Oryctolagus cuniculus: one gene and its partners. The protein of the gene in region 1 interacts with the protein of each later gene in a pairwise test. Links are inferred from orthologs where the notes say so. Each region holds a gene or a part of one and is shown in the gene's direction. Other genes may lie near its edges. The genes, in order: STAC3, FAM133A, L3MBTL2, PPARA, MAB21L3, C6H1orf35 and ZCCHC10.

Region 1 (4,394 bases):
CAATGACAAAGTGGCCTCTGAGGGTCCTTCTAGCCCTGAATTCCAGGACTCATGTTGGCCCTGTGGCTGAACTGGCGAAGGTGAGTGATGTTCACAGCCAAGTTGAGATACTGGCCTCGTACCCGTCTGTCAAAGGTTCCAGAAGCCCTTCAGAGGTGGAGGACTTGGACCTTTCTTGAATCCTAAAGCCAGAGGATTGGGTTCTACCTGGCAGGAACAGAAGAGGCTGCTTTTAACAGTAAAAGCTACGCCAGCTGAACTTGAAGTGTCCAGATGTGTGTTCCCTGCCATCTGTGGTGGAAGAAGAGAGGAGCCAGGAGTACTTGGGACTTCCCACAGCTAGCCTGTGGGTACAGGGTGGTCCAGCACCTGTTTCAATCTCCCCTACCCCTCTAGGAGAGATAAAGAGCAGTGGGTGGATGTGGCAAAGTGCAACCCCTAAAATTGCTGGGGTCTGGGTGGCCCTATCTCTAGCCAGGCTCCCCCCAAGAACTTGGCTGACCCCACCTGCGACGCAGTCCTTTATTTCTTACAGATAACAAGAAATAAAGCAGCATATGATAACCCCTCTTTCGTAGTTCAGAGTATCTCTTCCTTCAATTATGCCCTGGCCCAAAGAGAAGGCGAAGGCTGTATCCCCCTGAGATGAGAATGCCAGCCAGGCCTCTGCCCTCTCACTTCACGTGCTGGGGCATCAGAGGTGGGCGACGGGACCGGGGAACCGTAGTGGTTTAGAGACTTGGCCGTCCTCCCTTCAAAAGAGTCTACAGCTCCCTCCTGAGGAAGAATGGACTTAAAAATGACAAAAACTCCCTGCAGAAGGCAGCCACAGTCTCTGGCGTCAAGTATTTCTTCCTTGTTACTGGCCCCTCCTTCCCTGGAGCCCCTCAGGTGGAAGTCTCGGCCTGTCCTTTAGTAACCCTTACAATTCCCTTTACCCTCAGGACAGGATCTTAGTGGAATGGGGGGAGTAGAGCAGTACTGTGTATTCCTCGCCTCATTCCAGGATAGCAAGGTGCCCCTGCAGCTGCCCGGTGTCAGGCAGCCTTGTGGGGTGGCTGACAGGACAGTCAAGTGGCCCATCCTAGCCTGAAGGTCTGAAGCTGGGGGCTGGAGGGCGCAGGGACTTGGAGCCACCAGGAGACAACTGCAGAGAAGAGAAGCCTGGCTCCTAGAGGAGCTCCGGGGAGGGTAGAGTTGGGGGTGATTGGGCCTTGGGGAGAGGGGTTGGGGGTCTAATTCATCTTCCCTCACTTGCAGTCATCTGCATCCCCTCAAATGGGCACACAGCGTGAACAGAAACTCCCAGCACTGGGCCTGTTCAGCTCCTGCTACATGAAGAATCAGGGAACAGCAGCTGGGGGAGGGGTGGAGTTAGGGTCCAGCCCTGCCCAGACCTCCCGTGTCCGATTTCTCTGTGTCAGCTGTGTGGCTCAGCTGTCCACTTCCCTCCAGCCCTGTCATTTCAGCTCTGACACCAAGGCAAGAGGCTAGGAGGTCTACAAATAACCGTCTGAGTGGCTGGTGTGAGTACGGACGGCACTGGGGGGGCTTAGCCCCCAAGGAAGAGGAACCAGTCCTCCCCCAGCACCACCGTCAAGGCCCCAGGGGCTCCCTCTGCCCTCCACAGCCTGACTTTAGGGAACCCCAAACGTAAGTTGCCTCTTGCTCCCCTTTCCTGCTCCAGGATTGTTCTCCCCAACTTCCCCAGTCGTAGTCTATTCAGCTTCTGTGTCCTCTCATCTGTAAGTAGTGGGGTTTTTAGGAGTGGCATTATTCTACTCCAGGATGAGTTGGGATTGGAGGTGGGGGTGGGGTTGAGGGAACAGAGTAGTAGGGAAGGAAAGGCTCATATTACTCTGAAAACTTAAAATAGCAGGCCTGAGGCAGGCTGGGACAGAAGTAGGCAGCGGGCCCCAGGAGTCCAGAAAGAGGGGAGAAGCAGTGTCTCCAGCTCATCCCTCCTTGTGGGCTCGCAGGGATGCACAGCAAACCTGCAGGGAGGGCGTGTAGAGGCACAGCCTACTGGACTGAGCAGGCTGCCTGTCAGAGTGGAAGGATGGATGGGAGGATAGCACTGGCTGGGAGGTTCTGACGTCTGCCGAGTTTCTTCTGGACCTCCATGGAATCTTGCTGCTCATAGCCCTACCATAGGGTCTCTGCGAGATTTTTCCTGAAGCCTCCCTTTCAAAGACCACCCTACCCCCCATGAGACAAGAATGAAAAGACAAGAAGAAAGGTAGTCAGGGATTAGATTTCCTATGGAGTCCAACCTCTTGCAGGATGACAGAAAAGGAGGTACCGGAGTCCCCCAAGCCCTCCCCAGCAGAGGCTGGGCAAAGTGGGGTGAGTCTGGGCCATTGACCGCTGTGTGGGGGGAGCTGGGAAGCCATTGCCGGCCAGAAGGAAAGTGCTTGATTGGTCTCTGCGTGTTGTTAGATGACTAGCCAGCACCTGTGGCTCCCCTGACCCCACCCACCCCACCCCCGGCTGCATTCCTTGCCCCAAACAAGAACAATGTGGCTAGCTGTAGCCTTAGCTACTCCAGGAGGCCAGGACAATCCTGTTAACATTGGGTTTCCTTCACTCCCTCCCTCAGCTGCAACGGCTGAAGCAGTTGTTCAGGAAGGGGTCTACAGAGACAAAGGAGATGGAGCTTCCCCCAGAACCCCAGGCCAATGGGGAGGCGGTGGGAGCTGGGGGTGGGCCCATCTACTACATCTATGAGGAAGAGGAGGAAGAAGAGGAGGAGGAGGAGGAGCCACCCCCAGAGCCTCCTAAGCTTGTCAACGATAAGCCCCACAAATTCAAAGATCATTTCTTCAAGAAGCCAAAGTTTTGTGATGTCTGTGCCCGGATGATTGTGCGTGAGTCATGAAGGGAAGCAGAGAAAGTGAGGGTGGAGGCAGGGAGTGCGGGAGAGGGTTTAGGAGAGTGATATTGGTAGCAGGTGGCCGGTGGCAAGATTTGACTTGGGAGATGGCTGTTAAGAGATTCAGAGTATAGAGTCCCAAACCAAAAAGGGAGAGGAAACTCTGGTGCAAAGAAGGGCAAGCCGGGGTCTTACACAGATGTTCTCTCCTCCCCCAAGTCAACAACAAATTTGGGCTTCGCTGTAAGAACTGCAAAACCAACATCCATGAACATTGTCAGCCCTACGTGGAGATGCAGAGATGCTTCGGCAAGATCGTGAGTAGGCTCTGGGGAGCAAGAAAGGAAAAGTGGGGGACTCGCTAGCTGTGCCCTTGCTGCTCCCCCTCAAGTCATCCCTTTCTTCTCCCTGCTTCTTCTTAGCCCTTCTCTTGCTCTGAGAAGGGGCGAGCACTCATGGGAGACATGGGTTCTGGACCCTGCACTACTGCCTCTAATACTTCCTCCCATCCCATCCTACAGCCCCCTGGTTTCCGCCGGGCCTATAGCTCCCCACTCTACAGCAACCAGCAGTACGCTTGTGTCAAAGATCTCTGTAAGTGCCCCATGTGGGACCTGAGGGAATGGGGCAAACCTCAGAGATGGTTGCATACCACCTCTAGCTTTGGAAGCCACAGTGTGAAACAGGAACATTCTATTTCCCATGACTCTCCCTCATCCTAATACAAAGGGTCTTCAAAAAGTTTGTGGAAAATGCTTGTCAGAAAAAAACTGTGGATTTTGAATATTTTTTGCACCAAAATAATTTTTTAATTGATTTTTTTTTTTTTTTTTTTTTTTTTAGGCAGAGAGAGACAGAGAGCTCCCATCCGTTGGTTCACTCTCCCAAATACCCACAATGACTAGGGTGAGCCGAGTCCAGAGCTAGTAACTCAGTTCAGGTCTCCCATGTGGAGATGCTTGAGCCGTCACTGCTGCCTCCCAGGCTCTGCATTAGCAGGAAGCCGAGTCAGGAGCTGGAGGTGGTTCTCAAACCCAGGCACTCCGATGTGGGATGCAGGCATCACAACTGCGAGGCTAACCATCCGCTTCCTAAACCTTTTAATTCTACCTTTTCATAAATGTTTGTAGTACCCTCATAAGGACTATTACAAAAGTAATAAGTACTTTTATAGCCATCTCGGTTGCAGCGTTAATATTGCCCTGTTTGAGGCAATCTTGAGAAAAATAAGATTTGCCTGGAGGGGGCCAGCACTGTGGCTCAGTGGGTTAAGCCTTTGCCTACAGTGCCAGCATCCCATATGGGCACCGGTTCAAGTCCCAGCTGCTCCACTTCCACTCCAGCTCCCTGCTAATGGCCTAGGAATACAATGGAAGATGGGCCAAGTTCTTGGCCCCTGCACCCAAGTGGGAGACCTGGAGGAAGCTCCTGGCTTCAGATTGTGGCCATTTGGAGAGTGAACTAGCAGATGGAAGCTCTGTCTCTCCCTCTTTGTGTCTGTAACTCTGCCTCTCAAATAAAT
Region 2 (3,535 bases), on another chromosome or scaffold:
GTGTTATGTACTGTGGTGAATAAGATGGGTCAAACATGGTCTTTTACCTTCGTTGAGCTTACATTTACCAGTGAATACACACACAAATATATACACAGACACATAATCAAATAAAATCATTACCAATTTAATAAGTGCTATGAATAAAAAATGAGGAACTAGAGTACAGAAAGATCAGGATGAGTGGCAGACAGAAAATCAGCCTACTTTAGTATCAGGTTGAGCCGTATGAATTTGTTGGTATTTGAACTATTTGTCTCCTTTAAAATTGACCAGTTTATATATAGCTCAACAGTAGCCCTTCTGAAGAATTGACATTTAAGCTGAGATCTGAAGAATGAGGTTGAATTGACCATGTTGGTTAAGCTTGGCATTCAGCTTATTCCAAGAATCAAGAGAAGATAAGGCGATGGAATTGAGAAAAGGGGTGAGTGACTATAAATGAAAGTAGGAGAGAGAAACAGAGCAGATAATATGGGATGTATAAAGGAGTTTTGATTAATGTTCCTTAAGATGTAAAGCAGCTGGAGTGTTTTAATATCCTCTGATTGTAATGTGGGACTAGAATAGAAGGAAGTACAGGCAGAAATAGGACTACCAATTCAGAGGTTGATATAATGAAGAGATATAATAATGTTGTGTTATGTGTTTAGGGTTTGGAATCAAGCTGCCTTGGTTTAAACTTGGTTCCACCATTTATTAGTCCTTTTAATTTATGCAAGTTACACTTGAATAGAGATAATAATAAGATCAATGTTATAGGTTTTTTTAAATGTTTATTTATTTTCATCTAGTGAGAGAAAGGAAGAGAGAGGCAGACAGGCAGAGATAGAGTCCTTCCATCTGCTGTTTCACTCCCCAAATGCCTGCAACAAGGCTGGGTCAGGCCAATACCAGAAGCCAGGAATTCCATCTGGATTTTTCACATGGGTAACATAGACTCAATTATTTGAGTCATCCATTTCTGCCTCCCAGTATACATTAGCAGGAAGCTCAGTGACAAACAGGCTAGCCTGTACTGGAACCAGCTATCTGATAGGGAATGCAGCATTCCAAGCAATAGCTTACCCTTTGCAGAACAGTGGCCACTCCTTGTATGTTTTATTCTAGGAATTGAACAAGAATAATTCATTGCAAAGAACTGAATGCTTCCTGACAGATAATAAACACTTTAGATATTAGAGATTAATAGTTCAAGTGAGAGATGATAATACCCTTGACTATGTACATGACAATATATTTGGAGAAAAGTGAATGGACATGAGACACACTGTGGAAATTTAAACAGGAGAATTAGTAATGGATTAGATGTGAGAGTTGAAGGGAAAAATATTTTTAAGATTTTGACTACCAAAAGGAGTAGAGTAGATTGTTTTGCACTTTCCCAAGCTGGAGAATGTCCTCCTGGTACAGATTTTAGCTCTATAATTTTTTAGATATATCATATTAGGCAATAATGAAATGAAAATTGGTAAATATCATATGATATAAAAATAAATACTTATTAAACATATTACATACTTGCCAGAGCCCTACAGGAGGTAAATAAGACATTTTAAGTTAGTGTTATGTTCATACCACAGTACGTATAATATGGAACAATCTTAAAGTATGTGTGTTTATAAATCTTAAATGTTTGTTCCCAAAGCATAAGATTTTGGAAATCTCTGCTGTACTATATTATAGGCAGTGATAATTAAGCTTATGTGTTTATTTTGTCTTATGTTAAAGTAGTTGTGTAACCATTCCATCTTTCTTTCACAGAATGGAGCCTGCTTGGTATACCAGCAGATAAAGAGAATAAGGAGAGTGTCTATCCTTATTCTGCTTTGCAACTGATAAGCTACTCTGGGAACCATAAGGCATCATGGGGAAGCGAGATAATCGAGTGGCCTATATGAATCCTATAGCCATGGCCAGATGGAGAGGCCCAACTCAATCTGCAGGCCCAACAATACAAGATTATTTGAATCGGCCAAGGCCCACCTGGGAAGAAGTAAAGAAACAATTGGAAAATAAAAAGAAAGGTTCCAAGGCATTAGCTGAATTTGAAGAAAAAATGAATGAAAATTGGAAGAAAGAACTTGAGAAAAGCAGAGAGAAATTGTTGAGTGGAAATGAGAACTCATCCAAAAAAAGAGAAAAAAAGAAAAAGAAAAAGAGGAAATCTTGTCAATCTTCGTCCTCTCCTTCATCAAGCTCTGATTCTTCAAACAGTTGTTCAGAATCTGAGGATGAGGAAAAGAAACAAGGAAAAAAGAGAAAGAAAAAGAAGAGCCGTTCATACAAATCATCAGAAAGCTCTATGTGTGAATCAGAATCAGAGAGCAAAGAATCTGTGAAAAAGAAAAAGAAGTCAAAGGATGAAACAGAGAAAGAAAAGTATATTAGAAACCTCAGCAAAAAAAGAAAGAAGACTCATCCTGAGGATAAACCTTTGTCATCTGAGGCCTCATCAGAATCAGATTATGAAGAGGAAGTGCAAGCAAAAAAGAAGAGAAAACATGAAGAGCAAGAAAAAGCAATGGAAAAAGTAAAGAAAAAGAAGAAGAAACAGCACAAGAAACACAGTAAGAAGAAAAAAAAGAAGTCTGGTTCAAGTCATAAATCAGGATGACATCAAGAAAAAAAGTAAGATTTCCTTTAAAAAAAAGTCTAAAGGAAATTTCAACTGTGAAAATTAGGGCATAGTTACCAACACGCATGAGTTTCCCTGTGTTAGTAGAGTTGTTCCTGGACTCAAATGCCAGTAAAAAGCCACTGTGCCAGAAAGGGCCATAATTGTTGCCTGCAGCTTAAATATAGGATTTTGTTTGTTTCTTTGTCTTTCTTTCCAGTGGTTAATTCCTCTGGAAGGTAAAAACTCTGTTGTCATGTTAGTGGATAAAATGTTTGGAATTAAAATAAAATGTTTTAGATAATGGATTGTTTTGACCAAAAAAAATTGATTCTAAGGTTAAATGTATCTAATTTTTTTTGCAGACATCTTCAAAATATATTCAGACAACTGTAGTTCACATTTCTGAAGCAAAGACTTAATATTGATATATCAAAATCCTTACTGTTATAGATGTTCAGTTTATTTTACTTTTTTCCTTAAAAAAAACTTTTGTTTACATGGGGAAAGGGCTTGGGGGGTAGGGAGTGTTTGCTAATTACTTTGGCTAGCTGAATAGTGTGCCTTGGATCCTTGCACATTCTATTTTTGCCAGTGCAGCAGCCATCCATTCTTTATTCAATGAAATTCTGGGATGTTATTGTGTGCTGCTTTATGAACAACAAAGATAACAATTTACAAGCATGAGTAAGCCCCCATATTTCTGAAATTTACCTCCACTTCAGCACTGTTCTCTGTGCAGTACTGAATAATATTTAGTATTAGCATATTACATGATTTGAATTAACTTTGATAACATTTTCAAGGGGAATCATTTTAAATAGTCCCTGGTATTTTTTGATTAATAAAGATTCTGAAATTTTTTTGCACATTTTATATGGTTTTAATTTTCCAGCAATATTCTTTGTAACTAGTAAT
Region 3 (3,839 bases), about 57 Mb from region 1:
GAGCGACTTGGGCACTTCTACCTAATACATGTTTTTCTCTTTGACTTCTCTGTCTTGAAAACTTCCTCACTGACCTGTTTCCCCAGTTGTCTTTCTGAAGTTCCCTTAGCCCCGCTGTTACACACACAGCCCAGGGAGGCCGGGCAGCCTCGCTTAGGTGAGGTCCGTTCAGATGTGTTCAGTGTGGCCTCCGCCTCCTCCTCCTCCACCACCTCCTCCTCCTCCTCTTGTGTCAGCCTTAGTGAGGGCTGGCACTCACCTGGTTAGTGCAATGTCCCAGGTATTGAAGGCCTCATTGGGTTTGATTTGGGGCGACCGTACCAGGTGAGTCATGTGCTAAGTTCTCTTCCCAGCTGTCTGTGAGATGTGCGGTATCGTGGGCACAAGGGAAGCCTTCTTCTCCAAGACCAAGAGGTTCTGCAGCGTCTCCTGCTCCAGGAGCTATTCCTCCAACTCCAAGAAAGCCAGCATCTTGGCTAGATTACAGGTGAGAGGCAGCCGCTCGGCCCCCAGGGCCCTGGGTGCTAAAAGAGGACCAGCTGACTGGAGGCCCAGAGGACCTGGGAAGCTCCCTGTTTTGGCCGTCTGAGGTTGGACATTTCTTCTGAGAATTTGCTGTGCTCTCAAACCTCAGTAGGCAGAGGAGTCAGTTTATGGAGCTTGTTCATTAAGAGCTTGCTGTTATCCTTCCACCCCCAAGAGTCGCTCATATTCAATAAATTTAAGTGAGAGTCCTGGAGGTTCTGATCAGAGCTGGAAGCCCTGCTCTTCTCTGCACGCTTTTATAAATGCCTTGAAGGGAAGCTGGGATACAGGCGCAAGGTTCAGCAGCCACAGCGGCATCAGGAAGCCGATGCCTTGTCGCTGACTGTGTCTCATGGGTGGCCACCTGGGAAGTCTTGCCAAGCTCTTGACATTTATAGAAGTTTAGGGATGGAAACACTTGTCTTAGGCACCTGTTGTCAGACCCACAAGATGATGCAGTGTGCCGAGTGCAGGGAGGTGGAACGACTGACCCAGGGCAGCTCTGTGGAGGGAGAGCACTGGGATCTGGGCTGCAGCCTACGCTCAGCTGCCGGCCGTGGGTGTTTCCCAACGTGCACACGTGCCTCAAAGGAGACTGTGCATTCGGAACATCCGGAAAGTTTTGGTTTTTTTTTTTTTTTAAAGATTTGTTTATTTGGAAGAGTTACACAGAGAGGTAGAGACAGAGAGAGTCTTCCATTCACTGGTTCACTCTTCAAATGGCCTCAATGGCCAGAGCTGGGCCAATTAGGAGCCAGGAGTTTCTTCCAGGTCTCCCACGTGGGTGCAGGGGCCCACGCACTTGGGCCATCTCTGCTGCTTTCCCAAGGCGCATTAGCAGGGAGCAGCCAGGTCTTGAACTGGCGTCCATATAGGATGCCTGCGCTGCAGGCCGGAGCATTAACCTGCTGCACCATAGTGCCAGCCTCTAGAAAGTTTTAAAAATATGATATTTGGGGCCGGTGCCGCAGCTCACTAGGCTAATCCTCCACCTAGCAGCGCCAGCACACCGGGTTCTAGTCCCGGTCGGGGCGCCGGATTCTGTCCTGGTTGCCCCTCTTCCCGGCCAGCTCTCTGCTGTGGCCAGGGAGTGCAGTGGAGGATGGCCCAAGTGCTTGGGCCCTGCACCCCATGGGAGACCAGGAGAAGTACCTGGCTCCTGCCTTCGGATTAGCGCGGTGCACTGGCCGCAGCGTGCCAGCCGCGGCGGCCATTGGAGGGTGAACCAACAGCAAAAGGAAGACCTTTCTCTCTGTCTCTCTCTCACTGTCCACTCTACTTGTCAAAAAAAAAAAAAAAAAAGAAAAAAAAAAGATATTTGGGTCCTATACCCAAAGACTGGCTTAACAGGGAAGGAGTGTGATCTTGGCTTGGGGATTTAAAGAGCTCGCCGGTGACTCTGCCTGCCACCGTGATGCTGGTGGCAGTGCCCTGAGCTGGCTCCGGCCGGTGCCTCACTCACTGCACTGCCTTTGCTTCCCTCGTTTTGTGGGTTTTATGCAACGCATGAAAGAGAGCTCGTGATGTTACTTGGTAATAGTGACATCGGGGGACACCTGTTGAGGGCTTGGCATTCCCAGTCTAAACAACGATCCTAAAAAATTGACTTTACACAAATTCCTGTTTTAAGAGTTTAAGCATTTGAGTAAAAGATATAGAAAGCTTCAGAACCGGGGTTGGCCCCCAGTCTGTGTGGGATGTCATCCTCCATTTCTGCCTCACTGATCTGTGGTAAATTCCTGGCTTTTCTGATCAGTGCGTAAGTTACAAAGTATGCACCAGGGCCCTGGCCTTTCCCTTTGGGGGTGACCTCCTCTGAGTACCTGAGGACAGCACGGGAGCCTCCGTGGAGCACAATTACCTGTGTACGGAATGCTGCCTCGTGGAGCAGAGACTTCGTGGTGCCACCCTCCCCCACCTCACCCCCGCCCAGCCTATTCTCTGCGTGGCTCAGTAGCAGCACCAGAGTAAGGAGCTGACAGAGCTAAAGCTGTAGGGAGAGGCCCCTGCTCCGCTGACTACCCACCACCACCATCACCCTCTGAGCTAGGCCTTGTCCACGCTGTGTTTTACAAACTCAAGCCAGAAGAGGATAAGTAACTGAACAAGACCAGGCGGATCCTGACAGTGCCGATCCAGATCCTTAGCCGCCACCTCACGGCCTCTCTTTTCCCTCCAGGGGAAACCACCAACCAAGAAAGCCAAAGTGCTGCACAAGGCGGCCTGGTCTGCTAAAATCGGAGCCTTCCTGCACTCCCAGGGCACTGGACAGCTGGCCGATGGGACGCCCACAGGGCAAGACGGTAAGACAGCAGGGACAGGTTCTGAAAGTGGCTGCGGTGGTGGCCGGGACCCGGCTGGCCCTCCCTGGGAGTGGGGGCTGGGAAAGCTGGACCACTGGAAAGCCCCTGGCCCAGGCTCGCTGCCCGTCACCCTTTCCTGTGGGCTGTCCTGGAAGTTACCTCCTAAAAGCTCCTGGCTCACCCCTCAGAAGTCAGGAATTAGCTTCTTTTGTTTCTCTTATCTCTGGGGCAGTGGAGGCCCAAGTCTGGTTTGAAGGGGCGGCAGTCCGGGGTTAGGATAACAAAAGGAACCTTCTCTGTGTGTGTGTGTAGCAAACTAAGTGTAGGCCCTCGCAGCTCTGCCAAGTTGGCCTCCCCGCCAGCAGGTCTGGGCCTCACTCTGTGCTGCTCCACCCTGTTGGGTTGGATGTGGCCAAGGAGAGGCTGAGGGGTGTGAGGAATTTGAACCCAGGGACACTGGCATTTCCCTTTCCTTGGGATAAGAAGGGAGAGATACTCCTTTGTAAGTGCTCCTCTACCGAGGATTGGCGGCGTCTAGATTTGCCTGCACCCCCTGGTGGCCACTGGTGGGACAGGTCTGGGCGCACTGGGACTGCTGCGGAAGAGCGACTGCTGCTGAGCCCGCCGGCCCTCAGTGCAGTGACCACAGCGCTGCCACCGGGCTTCCAGGCGCCAATCTCCTCTCTGCTCCACAGCTCTGGTCCTGGGCTTCGACTGGGGCAAGTTCCTGAAGGATCACAGTTACAAAGCTGCTCCTGTCAGCTGCTTCAAACACGTGAGTGCCCCGGGTTGCAGAGGGAGGGCAGGGCACACAGCGGAGGCGCTGGCCTTGGTGTGCACACCGCTTCCCAAGGACGGTGCCAGGCTGGTGCGGTGCCGCAGAGCTGCAGTGCGCGCCAGGTGGAAGGAGCTCAGCCCTGTCAGCCGGCTCCATGCTCTGAGTCTGCTGCTCCTCAAAACTCCCGGAGCTGCGCTGCGGCACAGCGGGTTAAGCCATCTGCACCCTGGCAA
Region 4 (4,511 bases), about 61 Mb from region 1:
TTGCTCCACTTCCAATCCAGCTCCCTGCTAATGCGCCTGGGAAGGCAGTGAAGATGGCCCAACTGCTTGGGCTCCTGCACCCATGTGGGAGACCCGGAGAAAGCCCCCGACTCCTGGCTTCGGCCCAGCCTCTGATGTTGCGGCCATTTAGGGAGTCAACCAGTGGATGGAAGATATCTATCTTGAGCTCTCTGCAACTCTTTCAAATAAATAAAATAAATCTTAATAAGAGAAGTGACATCTCCCAACGCATGGTTCACAAACAAGTTTTCTCTCCTAAAGCTTTGGGAACCCCGAGAACCCAAGAATATCACTTTCTACATCTGTGGAGTGCGCACCTGGGAGATTGAAGCCCGTATGTCCTTTGCAGGCATCCATAATTCTTGCCAGGTCTCTCCCACCACTTGGTGGCACTGGGTGCAGGGCGACCACCAGGACACACACACACACACACACACACCCCTGTCTTGAGACTCTGCGCCCTGGGGTGAGCCAGGAAACACCCACGCGGCCAGGATGTGGCCCACCGAGGGCAGGAAGCCCACCTGCTGCTGGGTAACCAACACAGCTTGGGTCCACCGGGGAGCTACCAGGGTCTGTGTTCAGCCCGGCTCTGGAAGGCGCACAGACTGGCATTTGCTGGCCGGCGTGCGCAGGTAGAGTTGGGCAGGCCCGATCGAGCGTGGGTGTCCAGGGGGTGGGGCAGAGTTCACAGCAGTCCCAGCTAACCGACAGGAGTGACTTTCCAAGAAGCTTGCGAAATGGCCCCAAGGCCAGGGTCTGCAGCCCCTGCGCGGCGCGGTGACCTGGGTGGAAGCCGCGCCCGCTCACTTACGAGGTCACCCCGGGAGCCCGCCGCCGCGGCGCTGGGCGGACATTGCACAAGTTTCGTTCCCGCGGCAAGGGGCGCCGGGCGCTGCGCACCCGGAGCGGCTCTGCGCGCTGTCCCCTCAGCCTCGCCACTGGCTGCGGGGCCGCGACCTCCCAGTGCGCTGGCAGGGCCCGCGCGCCTCGCTGGGCACAAAGTCCTCTCTCACCCCCAGGGAACCGGCAGCCGGGGCGGGGGTCGGAGCTGGCGGCGCCTCCCCGCCCTGTCCCCGTTGCCCTTCACACTCGTGCCCACGGCCTGGCACCTCCGCCACCTGCTGACGCGTCCTGGGGCTCTCGGAACGCCCTTCCCCGTCCTCCCGCCCCGCACCCCACGGACTCCCGAGACCCTAGGCACCGGTCCCCGGGCCCTGGCCAAGACCCCCTCGTCGCGCCGTGCGGAGCCGAGTTCCGCGAGCGCTCAGGGCCTCGCCAGCGCGGCACGGGCGCCCGGCGGGACCCTCGCCTCCCCTTCCCCGCCCCCCACGCCAGCCATCCGCGGGGCGACCTTGGGCAGTCCCTTTGCCTCCCGGGCCTCAGTTTCCCCCAGCTCCGCGGCTGCGGGGCGCGCAGTGGGAGTCGCGAGGGCTGTCCCGGCCCCGCCCCCGCCGGCGGCCAATCGGGCGCCGCCGTCCGGTGGGTGCGTCCCGCGCGGGGCCGCGGCCGGGGCCCGGGGCGGGGCTTCCGGGTCGGTCCCGCGCGGCCGGACCGGGCGGGGCGCGCCGAGGGGCGGCGCGTGGCGCGGGCGGGGCGCGGCTGGCACGGGCGGGCGGAGGCGGCGCCGGGCAGGGCCGGGACGCGGCGGCCCCACGGCGCGGGCAAGGGGCGGCGGGGCGGAGGCGGCCGCTAGCGCCCGGCCTGGCGCCGCCTCCCTCGGCGCTCGCCCCGCGGACCAGCAGGCGGCGGACCGCGGGCCCAGGTGCCGGGGGTGGGCGGCGCGAGCGGGGTCCGCGGCGCGGGCCGGGCCGGGCCTCTGCTGCCCCGGGCCGAGAGGGCGGCGGACGCGGACGGGAGGGGCCGGGCGGCGCATGCGCATGGCCCGGGGGCGCGGGGCGAGGGCACTCGCCGGGGACCCGAGTAGGGTCCCGGGACCAGGGGCCGCTCTCGCTCGGTGCCCCTCCAAGCGCCCGAGGCTGTCGGCGGAGCCGGAGACCTCCTGACGCTGGGTCCTTCGGTGTCCCCTGGGAGGCCAGGCCCGCGGCGGGGACGTCGGTGCGCTGTGGAGTTCGAGTGTCACAGAGCTGGGGGCGTTTTCGAGACCCCCAGGGACCCCCGAGGCTAGGTAACTCGTGTCCCGGACAGACTCTCGGCGCCGGTGCGCGCCGTCCTGCAGCCCGACGGGGACACGCGCGCGCGGTTGCTGTCGCGCGCCTGGGCCCCTGTGCGCCGGGCGCCGTGGGCAGCCGCGGGTTCCCCGGCAGGTTCCGCTGGGCTGCGAGGTGTCTTTCCTGTCCCCGGCCTCCCGCGGCTCCTCGGGACCGGTCCGGCCTGGCCCGCTGGAGCGGGTGCAAGGTTGGGAAGGGGGGGTCGGCTCTACCCAGCGCCCACCCTGGTTGGTGGGGGGACCATGGCACGCCCCCACGTTACCCAAACCCCTGTTTAAAAAAAAGTTGAAGAGATGTGCCCCAAATGTCAGGGTTCTTTCTAAGAAAACTCCAGGACTGGGCAGTAGGTGGAGCGCTCTCGGCCGGCTGGGTCTGCACAGGCACCGCGACCCCTGCCACCCCCATTCCCAAGGGAATCAGGGCGCCCCCCGCCCCGCCCCCGCTCGCAGGGCTGCTGGCTGGTAGGGAGGAGGAGCACGGGGCTTCACTGAGAACGACCCTGGGCGAAGGCAGGGTCACCGTGACTTTCCCCTTGCAAGGGCCGGAGGCTGGGGGGCATCCAGGGAACACATTGTAACCGTCTCGTCCTGTCCCTCCTCAGCCAGGGCTGGAGTCCCGGGCCCTGCCTCTGGGAGAAGTGACAAGCTCAGAAGCAAGGCGGTGTCACCGAAGGTAAACAGAGTTTGATTTCAGTCTCCAGGGTGAGGTATGGAAGGGTCTGTTTCCACTGCAGTAAGTTTGGGGGTTAATGGTTTCTTTGTGATGCAAAGCTTTCATGTCTTTTCCCTGTGTCCCAGGAGACCCCGGGATAGGTTTGCTTCTGGGTTCTGAGTTGGGGAGTTCTGATGTGGGTTTGGCTGGCTGCTTTCCTGTGATTCATAGGGAGATGCGGTGACTCTGAGAAGCAGTGCTACTCAGCGGGCGCTGGGGAAGGGCTGTTGTCGTGTGGGGAGACTGCAGGTGACCTGGGGGTCGGGGTCAGCTCCAGAGCCGCAGGCCCGGTGTGGGAGGGTGTGCGTGGTCGCTGCCCACCCGCAGCGGTCTCCAGGACTGGGAGCAGAAGCACGGGAACTGACGGTGGAGGAGGAGGTTTTCTGTTTGCTCAAGTCTGACACGCCTGACCAAGGTCCACCAGCATCATAAAGCAGCCCCTTGCGTGCGTGCGTGTGAGAGACAAGGTGTGAGAGACAAGGAGAAACTGTGTTTCTTGGCAAATACTTTGTGGCTGCTTCATCCCCGGACGCAGCTTCCAGGTGAATGAAATGCGCCTGCATTTGTCTAATACTCCATTACATTTAGATACAATAATTATTTAGCCGGTCCCTGTAGAGACAAGGCTACTTCAGAAAGTTTGTGGAAAGCCGAAACTGAGAAGATGTGAAACGTGTGCGTGGTTTGCTCATAATGGGCATTTTCCACGCACTCTTGGAAAGCCTTTCATATGCACAGATTTCAGACTTTTCTTTTTGTAAAGTGAACTTTTAATTCCGCTTTCCACAGACTTTTAAAATCGGCTCATCATATAGCTACTTCCGGAGTGGCTGCTGTGGGCTACTGTGCCCAGTGTTGAACGAGACCCCCGCGGACCTCTGGTGAAACTGGGTTCCATACTAGAGTATAGACAAAAGCTCACAGATTGTCACCCTTGGTCAGGGTGAGGGGCAGGTGGGCAGGGAGGGGACATTTTGGCAGGGCTGCTTTGTGCGTTGGGTTGGCGGTTGGTGACCTGGGCCCTTTCTCTTGCCTGCTGCCCGTAAGCGCCTGTGTTTTATATATATGTATATGTATACGTGTGTGTGTATACATACATATATATATACATGGATTTATAATAATCCTTTTAAAAACACATTAATCACAATGTTTCTTTGTTGAAAACAAAGTTTGAACATGCCAATTTTTCTCTTTTGCCTTTCATAGACTGTGTGTGAGTGGGGAAATTCTTCATGGCAAATGGGATGCGTGGCTTCGCTTCCAGGTGGCTGGGGTCTTAGCTTCACGGCATGCTAAGGGTGTGGCCCTGCAGTTAGTGCAAGTGGCCTGAGGCTGCTCTCTTGGAATGTGAGGGTCTCTGTTGCGCTTTCTGGTTTCCGTGGCTTGGGATGGAGTCAGTGTTTCACAAGGCATGGCATCTGTCCCTTCAGCCTTATTAGTTACGTAGGGGAGCGAGGTCACCTTGCAGGCCGCGTGGCTGGGGAAACCCCAGCTCAGAATCTGATTTTCCAGTTTGGTGAGAGGAAGGCTTGAAGTGAGGACTAAGTAGCAGAGGTGGCGGATCGGAAAGAACTTGTCTCCTCCACGTGTCAGAGTCGTTGGCCT
Region 5 (4,483 bases), on another chromosome or scaffold:
AGATTTTTCCCTCCAGAATGAGTGGAAGAGCATGCTTGTCAATCCAGAATGTGGATTGACTGAGACCTCAAGATTCAGGCTCCCTGTGGATAGACCAAATCCAGTTTAGGATCTCAAAGAGAAGATGGCAAAATCAGCTCCATCACTCCAGGGTGCCCCTTTGGGATTGCTGTCATAATTTGCTTTGAAGAAACCATTAACCTGCCACCCCTCCCGGTACATTCAGGAGGTACCAAGGGCCTGCTGTGCGCTAGGCATTGTATTAGGCTTGGGGTTGTCACAGGCCAGTGGAGTGGCTTTCTCAAGCCTCAAGCCTTCCCAGAGTCTTTGACTTGAATGGGATGAGCAGAGAAAAAATTGGGAGAGGGGTTTGAAGTACCGCAGAGATGAAAGACCTGGGTGAAGTTAGAGAAAATCGCGGGCCAAGTCTGGCAAGCTAGCTGGTAACAGAACTGGATTTCTTTCCAGGGTGGATCTGGAAATCAGGATGCTGCTTGAGACGCCTGCATCCCGTATCAGAGTGCCTGGGTTCAAGCCCCTGCTCCGCTTCCAGCTTCCTGTAGCTGTACACCCAGGGAGATAACGAGTCATGGTTCAAGTACTTAAGTCCCTAGCCCCCATGCGGGATACCTGGATTGAGTTCCAGGATCCCCACCTTGGACCTGGCCCAACCCCGGCTGTTTGAAGGCATCTGGGGAGTGAACCCAGAGATGAAAGACCCCCCTGTGTCCTGTTTCTTTTCCTTTCTGCCTGCCTTTCAAAACACAAATACAATTTAGAAGTAGGTGTCCAGGAAGGTTTTTTTGGGAAAGGAGACCTCACGCTGAGATTTCTTCTGGGTCCAAGAATTCCAAGCCACAAAGAATTTTAACTTCTAAGCTGTCCCTCTGGCCTGTGCTTTAATTATGCTAAAACCTATTGTCTGGGGAGAGGAAGCTTCCGCTATCTGCACAGGGCACATAAACATTTCCTCTTGGGAGTACCCTCTTCCTTATCAGATCAGCCACACTGTGAAGGCCCAGAGCAAAGTAGACCTTCCCAGGAGCCACCAACTTTTCTTTCACCTTCCTCTTCACATGTAAGTGAGGCTTAGTAGCTGCTGGCTTCAGAGTAGTTCAACATATTCCCCAAAGACACTTTGAGTACCCTCGCAAGTCCTCATCTGTGTTAGGAAATGTTAACAATGCTGCCTTTAATTTTGCTGTGAGGATTACTGAGAGACGCCTGTGTGTGAAATTCGAAGTGCTACAATCAGTTGTAGCAACAGAAACCGACAGTGATTTTAAAACAAAAGGTCGTGTTTTTATTGAACTGGCCGCAGTGGCATACTTTTCCCCAAAAATGCAATTGATGGGAAACTGTTGCAAGAAAACTCAAGCTGCTTCACTTGCCAACCAATAACGTAACTGAGGAAGTATGACTTTTAAAAGAACATTTCCCTCTTCTTTATTGTCTGTGGTTTTCACTACAGACACTGCGTGTTGGCTGCCTTCCCCCAGAGGGAAGTGACTGCCCTCCCCTTTTCCCAGGAATCCGGGAGGAGACTGCAGCCTCCTGGCGGGAGCAGTGGATTATATAAAAACTGTCGCCTCTGACCCTGGCCAACAGACCTCTCTCTCCCTCTTTTGGACTCCGGTTGGAGGGGTAAGTGTTGGGGGGACAGGTAACTGGGACTGTGTGTGTGTGTGTGTTTGTATTGGGTCTGCGGCTGTACAAGGGAGCTGGAGAGAGAAAGCCAGGAGTAGTGACACGGGCTGTGTCATGCTCTGGAGAGAGGAGGATCCTTGAAAATTCCTTCTGGCCGCAGGGGTGCTCAGGAAGTGTGACCTGTCCAGAGCTTGAGCTTGTGTTTGAAGTAAGGAAACCTGAGAGCCGTGGTCCCTGCGCGAACAGGAAACAAGCTCAACCACACATCAAATATGACTCCTTAAGGTCTTGGGATTTCAAGGACAAAAGAATATTAGAGGGCTCAGTTCCATCTCGTGTGGGTTCTGTCCTGTGCCCTGTGCCCTTTCCACTTTATTCACTCCCCTAGCATCTCGACACCCTCTGCTCTGGATACCAAGTTTTAGTGCTTGTATATTATTTCCTCTTTTATGTTTATAAAAATAACATGTTCAATTTTTAAAAAAAATGTTCGATAACACAAGGCTAAATGGAAAAGAAAAATTAAATGCAATCTTGCTGTCCAGAATTAATCACTCCTAACCTTTTCTCCAAGAATGTTTTGTGATTTTTTTTTCATTTGCCTATATATAATGAACGTTTTTCAGGAATTAAGAATTTTTTTGTTTTATTTTATTTTACTTATTTGAAAGGCAGAGAGACAGAGAGTTCTCCCATTCATTGGTTCATTCACAAAATGCCCGCAACAGTCAGGGCTCTGCAAAGCTGAAGTCAGGAACCTGGAATTCACTTGGACCTCCCAACTGACTGGCAGGGGCCCAACCACTTGAACCATCCCTTGCTGCCTCCCAGGGTGCACAGTAGCAGAAGGCTTGGGTCAAGAGAGGATCCAGGACTTCCACTCAGCCACTCCAGTGTGGAGTATTGCAGGTATCCTAAGCACTGCCCCGCTTGCTAAGCCAAATGCCCACTCGTCTGTGGGTCTCTCTCTCTCTCTCTTTTTTTTTTTTTTTTTAAGATTTATTTATTTATTTATTTGAAAGACAGAATTACAGAGAGGCAGAGGCAGGGAGAGAGAGAGAGAGGTCATCCATTGACTGGTTGACTCCTTAGATGGCTGCAACGGCCGACCCGAAGCCAGGAGCCAGGAGCTTGTTCTGGGTCTCCCACAAAGGTGAAGAGGCCCAAGGACTTGGGCCATCCTCTAAAGCTTTCCCAGGCCATAGCAGAGAGCTAGATTGAAAGTGGAGCAGCCAGGACTCGAACTGGCCCCCATATGGGATGCTAGCACTGCAGGCAGTGTCTTTACCCACTACGCCACAGCACTGGCCCTTCTATGGTTCTTTTTAAGGGCCGCAAGGTCTTGCATTACATGGCTATATTATAATTTATTTAGCCAATGTCTAATTGCTAGATATTTTAGCTTAGTTTTTCCTTTTGTAAATGAGGCATACAGAAGGTTGGCATACCTCCCTTGTTTCCTTCAGATAAATTAAGATACAAACTCACTGGGTCAATGGGGATGATTTTTAAAATTTTGATGAAAATCTTCATATGAAATTATAATGTCATTGTTAATAGATGAGGGCCAGATTTCCCATAGCACCCTAAAACACTACCTTTTTCTTATCTTTGGCAGATTATCAAATTATGGGTGGAGTAGATGAGGGGGATAGCTCATTGTTAAGGCTTAATTTGCATGTTTTGGTAACTAAAGTTGTGGTCATTTTGTTTATTAGCCATTTGTATTTCTTTTATGGGTTCCTATCCCAGTTCTTGGCTCATTCTATATTTTGAAACTTTTTTCTAATTTTGAAGTTTAAAATTGTTATCTGAAGTTTTTACCACCTTTGGCTTGTGGCACTCACATACACAAATTCAGATGAATGGTTATCTCCATCTTCTGACTCTTTTTATGGTTTTAAAAAATATTTAATTTCCTTATCTTTTCCTTATCTTCTCTGAGCTCCTGAGTGTTTTCTCTCCCAGGCTTGCTCATCTTTGTCTTGTCCCCACCAATTATAAATGCCAGCTTTATCTCAGGGCCTTGAGGACCCATAGCCGGGACAGTTGTATTTCCTTAGGCAGAAGAAGGATTAGGTTGAAAGGAAATGGAAGTCAGGAGAATTCAACTTTATGAGTAGCATTTTGTCTGTTGCCCTTTTCAACAAAAGAAGAGCAACAAAACATGACAAATGTTTTGATTTATAAAGTCTGGATATGTGGACCCAGGAGTGTTTTCTGTGTTTCTTTGGTGCCCTATAAAAAATTTTATGGGAACTGTGTATTCCCTAGAAGTTGAAAAGAATCATCAGTAAACTGAGACCCATATTGTCTAAGAGGCAGTTTGGGGAACAGTTTTATAATGGTTTCTGTAGTGGTTTTGCTTAAAATATTCTTACTTTTTTTTTGAGTCAATTTTTCTAATTGATTTTCTTCTGAAATGACATCTCTTGTTGAAATGTCTGATTTTCCTTTGAAATGTCATCTCTCAACCAGATTTGAAATTGCTTAAGTATTGGTGTAGCAGAGTAATTTTTCTATATCATTCTGATTTCTGTTTTGTGTACTATTATTTTCTTTACACTTGCTTGTCTTTGAGGGTCTTTGTTGTTGTTGTTTTATTATTATTTTTAAAATCCCCAAGTAGTTGGAGTTATTATGTTCATAATGTTTTCTTACTGTTTTGCTCTGTGGTCAGAGGATATAGAATGCTTAAGGTTCTCTTCGCTGTGATGTTTCACATTTTCTTGGAACATATAGTAAAATTGTCCATCTATTTTCATAATGCTGTACCTACTTGATCTGTCAAGGACTGAAAAGGGATGTGTTAAGACCTACCTCCTAGGACCATTGT
Region 6 (4,286 bases), on another chromosome or scaffold:
AGCACTGTGGTTAAGCACAGGTTAAGCCTCTGCCTGTGACAGCAACATTCCATATGGCTATCGGTTCGAGTCCCAGCTGCTCCTCTTCAGTCCAACTCTGCTGCGGCCTACGAGAGCAGTGGAAGATGGCTCAAGTGCTCGGGCCCTTGCACCCACGTGGGAGACCCTGAAGAAACTCCTGGCTCCTGATCCGCGCAGCTCCAGCCGTTGTGGACATTTGGGGAGTGAACCAGTGGATGGAAGACCTCTTTGTGTCTCCCTCTGTCTGTAACGCTGCCTCTCAAATAAATAAATAAATAAATCTCTTAATTTTTTATGTGATAGAACGGGGCGGAGCGGAGGGCGACAGAGAGAGAAAGCAGGAGCCCTCCATCTGCTGGTTCACTCCCCCAAACACCCGCAGCAGCCGGGGCGGGGCGGCAGCCGCAAGCGGGTGCCCCGCGCCGCGGCCAGCAGCGAGCTGGCGGGAGCGCGGCGCCAGGCCGAGCAGTCGCCGGGCTGCTCACAGCCCGCTGGCCTGCCACCTGACCCTGTCTGGGGGCTAGGGGTCTGCGGGCCCCCAGACGCTGCTGGAACGCCTCGTGCAGAATGGCTGCGAGGCCGGCCTCCGCTTCAACTTAGCTGAGCCCCCTACGGGGAATCAGGCTGTCTCCGAGAGACCCCTGCTATTGGCATGCAGTATGTGGAACCCGGTCCAATGGGCACCCCCACAGAAAGACCCAACGAAGACAGCAAAGCCTTAAAACCGTGTGCACTTCCCGAAAGCCTTGCAAAACGGGAAGCAAACTTCCCACTTCTTTGCAAGCTGTTCCAGCTTATTTCCATACTAAGCTGAGGAAAAGAACCCACCAAACTCGCTCCGGTAACCGCTGTCCCCTCCCGCGACGCCCAGCGGCTGCGGGGAGAGCGCGGCCTGGGGGGCAGGGGCCCTCGCCGGAGCCGCACCCGGAACCTGGTCCTCCTGGGTCTGTATCGCAGCGATCGGCGGGGACTTCAGGCAGCGGCCCCGCGCCCACCCGGGCTCCACAGCCCCTCCAGCGCCCGCTCGGCGACGGGGCACTGCGCAGGCGCGGGGGCCCAGTCGGGCGGTGCCTGCGTCGGTGCTCGCTGCGAGGTGGGTGGTGGTGCGCAGGCGCGCGGGGCCGGGCCGGGGCGTGACGCGCTGGCAGGTGCGACGCCCCGGGGCCCGGCGCAGGCGTGACGTCGCGGCGCGGCTAGGCGCGGCGACAGGCCAGAAGCCGGCGACAGTCATCGGGGCCCGTGCGGCGGCACTGTAGCCATGTTCGGGTCCAGCCGCGGCGGGGTGCGCGGCGGGCAGGACCAGTTCAACTGGGAGGACGTGAAGACCGACAAGCAGCGGGAGAACTACCTGGGCAACTCGCTGATGGCGCCGGTGGGCCGCTGGCAGAAGGGCCGCGACCTCACCTGGTACGCCAAGGGCCGGGAGCCGCGCGCAGGACCCAGCCGCGAGGAGGAGCTGGCGGCCGTGCGGGAGGCGGAGCGCGAGGCGCTGCTGGCCGCGCTGTGAGTGTCCCCGGGGGCGGCGGAGGGCGCGGGCGGAGGGCGCGGGCGGTCGACGGCGCCCTGACGGTGCCCCGGCCCTCTCGCAGAGGCTACAAGAACGTGAAGAAGCAGCCCACCGGCCTGAGCAAAGAGGTAACCGCAGGCGGGGGCTGAGCTGGGGGCCGAAACGGGGGTCGCGGGGGCGGGGGCCGGGCGGCGCCGGGCCCTCTCTCCCGGCCCTGTGCGCACCCCGCAGGACTTCGTGGAGATCTGCAAGCGGGAAGCCGGCGACCCGGAGGAGAAGGGCGTGGATCGGCTGCTGGGGCTGGGCAGCGCCAGGTGCGGCAGTCCCGGGGAGGAGGAGCCGGGTGCCCAGCGGGGAGCAGGGTCCGGGCGGTGATCCAGGGGCGTCCTCACCTCCGTGTCCCCGCAGTGGCTCCGCGGGCCGAGTGGCGCTGTCCCGGGAGGACAAAGAGGCTGCCAAGCTGGGGCTGTCGGTGTTCACGGTAACCTCTTTGCCCCAGCCCGAACGCGCTGGGGTCCTCGGGGCGGCGGGGGGGGGGGATGGGGGACGCCCAGGGCGGGTCTCCCCGAGGCGTGGGGTCAACCTGCGCGCCCTCGCCAAAGCGCCGCTTCCCCCGCAGCACCACCGCGTGGAGAATGGCGGGCGGGGGACCTCGCCGGCCTCAGCCAGGAGGAAACCGCGCGCCGAGGACAAGGCGGAGCCTGAGTAAGGGGCATTCGTGAGCCGGAGTTCCAGGGGTGTGTGTGTGTAGTAGGGGCGGGGGTGCAGCTCGGGATTTCTTCCCACAGACGTGTGCTCAGAGACGGCACCCACGAAAGGGCCAGGATTGGTTGGCCTTGAGCCCCTCTTTGGGCTGCCCTCGGCGGGCGAGCAGGGCCGGTCTCCATCTCCAGGCTGAATGTGCCTGCCGAGAGGGGTTGGGGTCAGGACAGCTGCTGAGCTGGGGTGAGGCGCAGGCAATGGCGCCTGGCCCTGGCTAGCTTGGGGGGAGGCAGAGCTGAGTCACTGCTGGATCTGCTGGGGAGTTTTTCTGCCACAGTGAGGGTGCGGCTGCTGGCCACACGTGACCGCCCAGCACTTTGAGATGTGGTCTGTTTGGCTGAGGGGCTGACCAGGACCAAGCATGAAGAGGCCGCTACGTTGGTGGCTGCCGCCCTGGACAGCACAAGCGTGTCCATCTTCCTCCCCTGGCCGGGACAGAACTGGCCGCCTGTGCTTGCTGTCTCCTGTCTCCCGAGGGCTGGGGCTGAGGCCCTTTCTGCACCCCCCTTGCAGCTCTGAGAGCCACAGGAAAAGCAAGAAAGAGAAGAAGAGAAAGAAAAAGAAGAAACACAAGAAACAAAAGAAGAAAGACAAGGAGCACAGGAGAGGGGCCACTTCCTCTTCCTCGTCCCCATCCCCTGCTCGGTAGGGCAGCCCAGGGGGAGGGGGACTGGAGCTGGGCTAGATGGGCAGCTGCCGCACGCTGGGTCCTTTCTGAGTGACCATCCCTGTCTGCCCAGGCCTGAACCCCGCCAGCGTGACTGCAACTCCCCCTGCTGCAAGAAGAGGCGGTGTGACAGCAGGGACAGTGGGAGGAGCCCTTCCCGCCAGCGGCACGCCAGAGACTCTGATGCCTGAGACCCTGCCTTGGAGGCCTGTGCAGGTCCCGGGGGCACCCCCCTCAGGGTGCCCTTCCTGTCCAGGTCGAGGCAGAGGGACCCTAGCCTTGCCTGCTGGGCTTCAGGAGCAGGGGCCTGTTTTGTGAACTTCCTCCAGGTCCCAGTGAAGGGAGACTGCGAGCCCAGGGTGTCCCTGTGGCCCTGCCTCAGCCCCCGGCCCTCCCAGCACAGGGGAGCCTGTATTCCAGGACAGGTCTCTTCTCTGTCCTGTCTCCCTCTGCAGCCTCCCCAGGCCGGCCCTCCCGAGGCTGTAGCTATGGCTGAGTGTGGCTACTTCTATTTTTCTTTACATCAGTTTTGTACTTCAGTTTATATTAAAAGCAGAGTGTATCATCACAGAATGGAAGGTGGCCCCAGCACCTGTCCTTCCTGTCCAGGGCCCTGGTGACCGCTAACACCCTAAGGGAGCCCCTCGTGCTCCCACGTGGCCAGGGTAGAACCGTGGGAGGACCCCCCCAGAGGGACGACAGTGTCGGGGCAGCTTGGGAGTGGGGGGCCTGCAGGGAGCCAAAGGCCCCCAGGGCCCACCTGCCTGCCTGCTCACCTGTGGAGGTGCTGTTGGGCAGGACTGCTTCTGGGGACATGAAGGTGCTGGCACTTGTAGGTGTGGACAGACAGCCCAGCCTGTGCTCCCGTGTGTGTGCTTGTGCACACAGGAAACCTTTCCTGTGAGGATGGGGTTAAGATCCAGACCACACCCCTAACCCTCTGCAGGTCCTCACCCTGCAGGTGGCCAGCCAGAGCTGAGACTGTGCTCAGGTGAAGGCAGGCAGGGACACCTGGCCAGGGCGGTGGCCCACAGAGGGCAAGGTATCAGAGGAGCTGAGGGAGGCTCCATGCTGTTTTCTGCCTGGGGGTGGGGGCTGCAGGCAGGAACAGCTGGCAGCCTCTGTCCCAGGTGGTGGGGTTAAACGCAGGACAGACCTGACCTGAGCTAGGCTGGGCTGCAGAGCACCACGTGAAGCCTACATACAGCACCATTTCCTGGGTCACTCGGCCCCTCCCCAGGGGACAGACTGGTGGTTGAGGCACTGAAACACTGGAGAGCCAGGGAATAGTTAAGAGATTTTATTTCTAATAGCTATAATTACAGTGCT
Region 7 (4,559 bases), on another chromosome or scaffold:
AGCCCTGGCTGTGCGGTCATCTGGGGTGTGAACCAGCAGATGGAAGATCCCTCTTTCTCTCCCTCTCTGTAACTGATTTTCAAATAGGATAAATAAATCTTAAAAAAAAAGGAACAGTAGGGACTCAAACTGGTTCTCCAACATGGGGTGCCGGTATGGCAGGCTGCAGTTTAGCTTGCTGTGGCACAACGCCCAATAATCCATTCTTTAAAGAACAAGCTGTACTCAAAGCTGACATCATTACCTTCTCTAACTCTCAAAATTAATCACTTTACTCCTTTATTTGGGATTCCTTTTCTTTCCTTTTTAAAAAGATTACTTGAGAGGCAGAGAAACAAAGAAGTACAGAGGAAGACAGAGACAGCCAGCCAAAGGGTAAACCTAGCCACTGGTTCACTCTAAATGCATCATAATACAGTAGAGGACATCATATTGCAAGACCAAGTAAGCACGGCAAAGAGAACTCACTTTCATAACGAAACTACTCTTTCAATAACCAAATTAATCCATTAATCTGAAAATAGATTCATTTATTCATGAGGGCAGAATCTCCGTTACCTAATCACCTACCAAATATTACTGATATATGACTTTAGGGATTAAATTTCTTTTTTTTTTTTTTTTCAGATTTATTTCTTTATTTGAAGGTCAGGGAGGCAGAAGAGACAGAGACATCTATCTGTCAGATCATTCCCTAAGTGTTTGCACCAGGCCAGGGCAGAGCTAGACAGAGGCCAGGAGCCTCCTGCCAAGAGCTGCCTCCTCTGTGGGTGCAGGGGCCCTGGCATGTGGGCCATCTTCTGCTGCTTTCCCAGGCACATTAGCAGGAAGCTGGATCAGAAGTGGAGCAGGTGGGACCTGAATCTGTGCAGATATGGGATGACGGCATTGCAGGCGGATGCTTTATTTGACACACCACAGCTCTGGCCCTGGTGGTTAAATTTGTAACACATGAATTATCGGGGGAAAACACCCTAATCATAGCAGATTTTGTTTATTATCTGTAGAAAGTTCCATGTGCCCAAGGGTCTAAACTTGAACAACACAGCATCTCAAGCTCCTAAACACTTTACTAAATAATTATTAATTGAAAAATACAAATGGGTGACCTAGAAACAGACAAGAATATATACAGCAGGATTTCAGAAAAGTTGGTGGGAAATGTACATTTTTCTTTTAATGCCATTTTCACTAACTTTTTGGAGTAATTATACATATGAAGAGTGTATATATATATATATATATATATATAGAAAAGATTGTGGACTTGGGAGAACATTTCCATGAGTCGATACTACAAATAGGTATAGCTACAATTTTCTAAAGTAATATTTGCGATGGTCTTTTTCTGGTTGCCAAAGCAGCTTTGGTCCTTATAACATTGCTGTGAATATATTAAACAATGAACAGTTAACACCATTTTCACTTGAGGATGTGCTAAACCCATTCTCTCGGATCCAGGGCCCGCTCACTATTTTATTCTCCAGACTTCTGCTTTCCGGTACACAGTAGTTTCATTCAGTATCTCTGCGTGTGGGGGATACCTATACACACGAATCTTAAAAATACATACTTTTCCTTTTCGGGAATGTGCTTCCCCGTCACCGTCCTTGCAAACCTCGCTCAGCCCCATGGACGGACCCACAGCGGCGTCCGCACGCACCCGCCTCCGGCCCTCGGCCTCCTCAGAGAGGCCGCCCGCAGGCCCCGCCCAGAAGCCGCCCGGAGGCCCCGCCCACGCCGCGGCCGCCGGGTCCAAGTCCACGCCCCCTGCGAGGAGTTTCCCAAAACTCAGCGCGGCAGGCCTCGGCCGCGCTAAGATGGCGACTCCCATGCATCGGCTCATAGCCCGGAGACAAGCGTAAGTGGGGGCCCTCTCGGGCTCCCGGACGGGCTGGGGGCGGGGAGACGCGCGTCAGCCGGCGGCTGAGCCGGCGCAGGGGTGCGCGGCTGGGCGTCGGACCCCCTCCGAGGAGCGGCCGAGGATGGCTGTTGCTCAGACACATTGCCAGCGTCCGCGGGGCTCGGCCCGGGCGATAAGTTTGGTGACCAGAGACTTGCGGGGTCGTGGAACAAGAAGGCAGCACGCGGGGGTTGGTCACTCCGTGGGTTAGGCCGTTCTGCCCGCACGGCGCGTGGGCAAGGGAAGCCGGGTCGGACCCCTCCGCTCCCGCGGAGGTAAACTGCAGCTCCCTCGGCAGCCTCCCGGCCAGCTGTCTTTCGCTGCCCCCTTCCCATCGCCGTCCCTGGACTCAACCAGCAGCTACTTCTCAGTTACTGCCGGTCTCTCCCTGAGTAAATATGTAGTCCCTGGGCTCGGCGCCAGAGCTTGGGCATAACGAAGAGGTGTTTCATTCCGATGGAGCCCCTGCTTCGGGAGCTCACGCTCCGGTGATGGGGACGGTCTCTAGTTTGGTCAGCTTTGACGGACACGAGGTTTGGTGGTGGAAAGAGGCGACATTTGATCAGAGATGGCCATGGGGAGAAAGCAGCCGGTCCTGAGACGATGTGTGGAAAGAACATCCAGACAGTGGCAAAACTGCTTGGAGGCCAGAAAGAATTTACTTCTCAAGAGCAGAAAGATGGCCAGTGTGCCTAAGGAGCTAGCAGGACAGCGGCGCCAGAGGTTTGCCGTGAGCCGACAATGCAGGGGTCATCTCGGAGGCCCTTTTCCTGCAAAACCTTCTTTCCTACCAACACATCTGCTACTTCTTCATTCTCAGTGTTTCACACCATCATCGTTTTGCACACCTATAGTGCATAGCTCAGAGTCCATTAACGTATATATGTTTATGTTTTTTATGTTTCTCCCTTTTCAGGCCCGATGAGAGTTCCCTGAATATGATAAAGACTCAGGGAGTCAGAGTAGTCAGCTTGGTGGTGAAAGGAGGCTCAGTGCTAACTGATGTCATTAGGTCTCCGTCTCTGCCTCTCTGCTTCTGCCTCTGTTGCTCAGGTTTGCTTTCCTGGATGTTGGCTCCAGACTGGAACAGACTCTGTTTTCTTCCTAATGCAGTATGCCAGGGTCCCTTATATCCTCTCAGCTTGGAGCTGGCTGCACTTCAGTGACCTGACTGCCTTGGCACACCTGTGGGATTTTGAAGTTACAATTGACTCAGAGGTCTCCTCTCCCAGCCTAGTGGAATGGATGACCATGAATGGATGATCTGGGTGGACGGGTCAAAGGTAGATGAATGCTGACTAATCAAAATCCGTAGTAGTGCTCATTCACAAGTATCAGAAAGTTAAATGTTTTCTTTGTATAGTGTGTGTGTTTGGTCCATGAGGTACATTGGAAGTAAAAGGCAGATCAGAGCTCGAGCAGCTTGTGGTCTTGTTGGGAAGAGGTATAATATAAGTTGTTGTGGTGTACAGATTGTAATACCCCCAGGGATTCAGGAAAGGAAGATTATTTTGAGGTTAGGGACGTGCAAAAGAATTTTAGGGATGTATTTGGGGGAGAGGAGAGGAGTCTTTGCTTTTCATTTTATTTTCATATTATGTTAGTCAAAAAATGTTAATTTTGTTTATAAGGAGCATATATGACTTTTATAATAATATGTTTAAAATTGTATTTAAGTTATGAGAACTGAGAAAGGTCTGTTGTCATTCTTTTTTTTTTTTTTTTCCTTTAAAGATTTATTTATTTGAAAGGCAGAGAGATCTTGGGGGAGACAGAGAGAGAGGTCTTCTGTCCTCTGGTTCACTCCCCAAGAGGCCACAATACCTGGAGCTGGGCCTATCCAAAGCCAGGAGCCAGGAGCTTCTTGAAGAACCAGGTCTCTGATGTGGGTGCAGGGTGCTAAGCACTTGAGCCATCCTCTACTTCAGAAGAGCAGCCAGGACACAAACCGGTGCCCATGTGGGATGCCAGCATCACAGGTGGAGGCTTATTTTGAAAGCATAAATTAGCAATCTATATGAAAGATGAATTTTTTAAAAAGATTTATTTTTATTTGTTTGAAATACAGAGTTACAGAGAGAGGTAGAGATGAAGAGAGAGAGAGTCTTTGATCTGCTGGTTCACTCTCCAAATGGCTGCATTGGCTGGAGCTGAGCCGATCCGAAGCCAGGAGCCAGGAGCCTCCTCTGGGTCTCCCACAAGGGTGCAGAGATCCAAGGACTTGGGCCATCTTCCACTGCTTTCCCAAGGCCATAGCAGAGAGCTGGATCAGAAGCGTAGCAGCCAGGACTAGAACCGGTGCCCATATGGGATGCTGGTGCTTGAGGCCGGGGCTTTAACCCACTGCACCACAGCACCAGCCCCGAAAGATTAATTTTTTTTTTAAGACATTAATTTGTTTATTTGAAAGGCAGAATTAGAGAGAGGAATCTTCCATCTTCTGATTAACTTCCCAGATGGCTGTAAAAGCTGGGCCATGCTAAAGCCAGGAGCTAAAAACTTTCAAGTCTGGCCATGTTGGTGGTAGGAGCCCAGCTACTTGGACCACCTTCCACTGCTTTTTTGGTCGCATTAGCAGGGAGCTGAATTGGAAGTGAGCAACTGGGGCTCAAACCAAAACTCATCTGAGATGCCCACATCACAGGTGGTGGCTTAA

Evidence for each region.
Region 2: the proteins of STAC3 (region 1) and FAM133A interact in binary tests that used the Homo sapiens proteins (3 or more experiments, as listed by UniProt). The two-hybrid records come from large-scale screens. The link is inferred for Oryctolagus cuniculus from reciprocal best matches to the Homo sapiens genes STAC3 and FAM133A.
Region 3: the proteins of STAC3 (region 1) and L3MBTL2 interact in binary tests that used the Homo sapiens proteins (3 or more experiments, as listed by UniProt). The two-hybrid records come from large-scale screens. The link is inferred for Oryctolagus cuniculus from reciprocal best matches to the Homo sapiens genes STAC3 and L3MBTL2.
Region 4: the proteins of STAC3 (region 1) and PPARA interact in a two-hybrid assay, tested with the Homo sapiens proteins (2 studies listed by BioGRID). The two-hybrid records come from large-scale screens. The link is inferred for Oryctolagus cuniculus from reciprocal best matches to the Homo sapiens genes STAC3 and PPARA.
Region 5: the proteins of STAC3 (region 1) and MAB21L3 interact in binary tests that used the Homo sapiens proteins (3 or more experiments, as listed by UniProt). The two-hybrid records come from large-scale screens. The link is inferred for Oryctolagus cuniculus from reciprocal best matches to the Homo sapiens genes STAC3 and MAB21L3.
Region 6: the proteins of STAC3 (region 1) and C6H1orf35 interact in binary tests that used the Homo sapiens proteins (3 or more experiments, as listed by UniProt). The two-hybrid records come from large-scale screens. The link is inferred for Oryctolagus cuniculus from reciprocal best matches to the Homo sapiens genes STAC3 and C1orf35.
Region 7: the proteins of STAC3 (region 1) and ZCCHC10 interact in binary tests that used the Homo sapiens proteins (3 or more experiments, as listed by UniProt). The two-hybrid records come from large-scale screens. The link is inferred for Oryctolagus cuniculus from reciprocal best matches to the Homo sapiens genes STAC3 and ZCCHC10.

The regions. Positions count from the first base shown.
Region 1 is NC_091442.1:59,883,521-59,887,914, reverse strand, and holds the start of STAC3 (SH3 and cysteine-rich domain-containing protein 3), read left to right. Parts: upstream 1-1,412; 5' UTR 1,413-1,653; intron 1,654-2,282; 5' UTR 2,283-2,283; coding exon 2,284-2,346; intron 2,347-2,599; coding exon 2,600-2,867; intron 2,868-3,091; coding exon 3,092-3,189; intron 3,190-3,393; coding exon 3,394-3,466; intron 3,467-4,394. UniProt on the Homo sapiens protein: Required for normal excitation-contraction coupling in skeletal muscle and for normal muscle contraction in response to membrane depolarization. Required for normal Ca(2+) release from the sarcplasmic reticulum, which ultimately leads to muscle contraction.
Region 2 is NC_091453.1:56,372,917-56,376,451, reverse strand, and holds the end of FAM133A (protein FAM133A), read left to right. Parts: intron 1-1,764; 5' UTR 1,765-1,867; coding exon 1,868-2,617; 3' UTR 2,618-2,752; downstream 2,753-3,535.
Region 3 is NC_091442.1:117,288,899-117,292,737, forward strand, and holds part of L3MBTL2 (lethal(3)malignant brain tumor-like protein 2), read left to right. Parts: intron 1-353; coding exon 354-487; intron 488-2,704; coding exon 2,705-2,828; intron 2,829-3,523; coding exon 3,524-3,603; intron 3,604-3,839. UniProt on the Homo sapiens protein: Putative Polycomb group (PcG) protein. PcG proteins maintain the transcriptionally repressive state of genes, probably via a modification of chromatin, rendering it heritably changed in its expressibility.
Region 4 is NC_091442.1:120,675,016-120,679,526, forward strand, and holds the start of PPARA (peroxisome proliferator-activated receptor alpha), read left to right. Parts: upstream 1-1,631; 5' UTR 1,632-1,786; intron 1,787-1,794; exon of another isoform or gene 1,795-2,149; intron 2,150-2,793; 5' UTR 2,794-2,864; exon of another isoform or gene 2,865-2,898; intron 2,899-4,511. UniProt on the Homo sapiens protein: Ligand-activated transcription factor. Key regulator of lipid metabolism. Activated by the endogenous ligand 1-palmitoyl-2-oleoyl-sn-glycerol-3-phosphocholine (16:0/18:1-GPC). Activated by oleylethanolamide, a naturally occurring lipid that regulates satiety.
Region 5 is NC_091438.1:54,356,616-54,361,098, reverse strand, and holds the start of MAB21L3 (protein mab-21-like 3), read left to right. Parts: upstream 1-1,456; 5' UTR 1,457-1,644; intron 1,645-4,483.
Region 6 is NC_091437.1:246,387-250,672, reverse strand, and holds the start of C6H1orf35 (multiple myeloma tumor-associated protein 2), read left to right. Parts: upstream 1-1,178; 5' UTR 1,179-1,279; coding exon 1,280-1,524; intron 1,525-1,610; coding exon 1,611-1,656; intron 1,657-1,759; coding exon 1,760-1,842; intron 1,843-1,936; coding exon 1,937-2,009; intron 2,010-2,147; coding exon 2,148-2,233; intron 2,234-2,803; coding exon 2,804-2,935; intron 2,936-3,030; coding exon 3,031-3,148; 3' UTR 3,149-4,286.
Region 7 is NC_091437.1:21,523,490-21,528,048, reverse strand, and holds the start of ZCCHC10 (zinc finger CCHC domain-containing protein 10), read left to right. Parts: upstream 1-1,628; 5' UTR 1,629-1,631; coding exon 1,632-1,861; intron 1,862-4,559.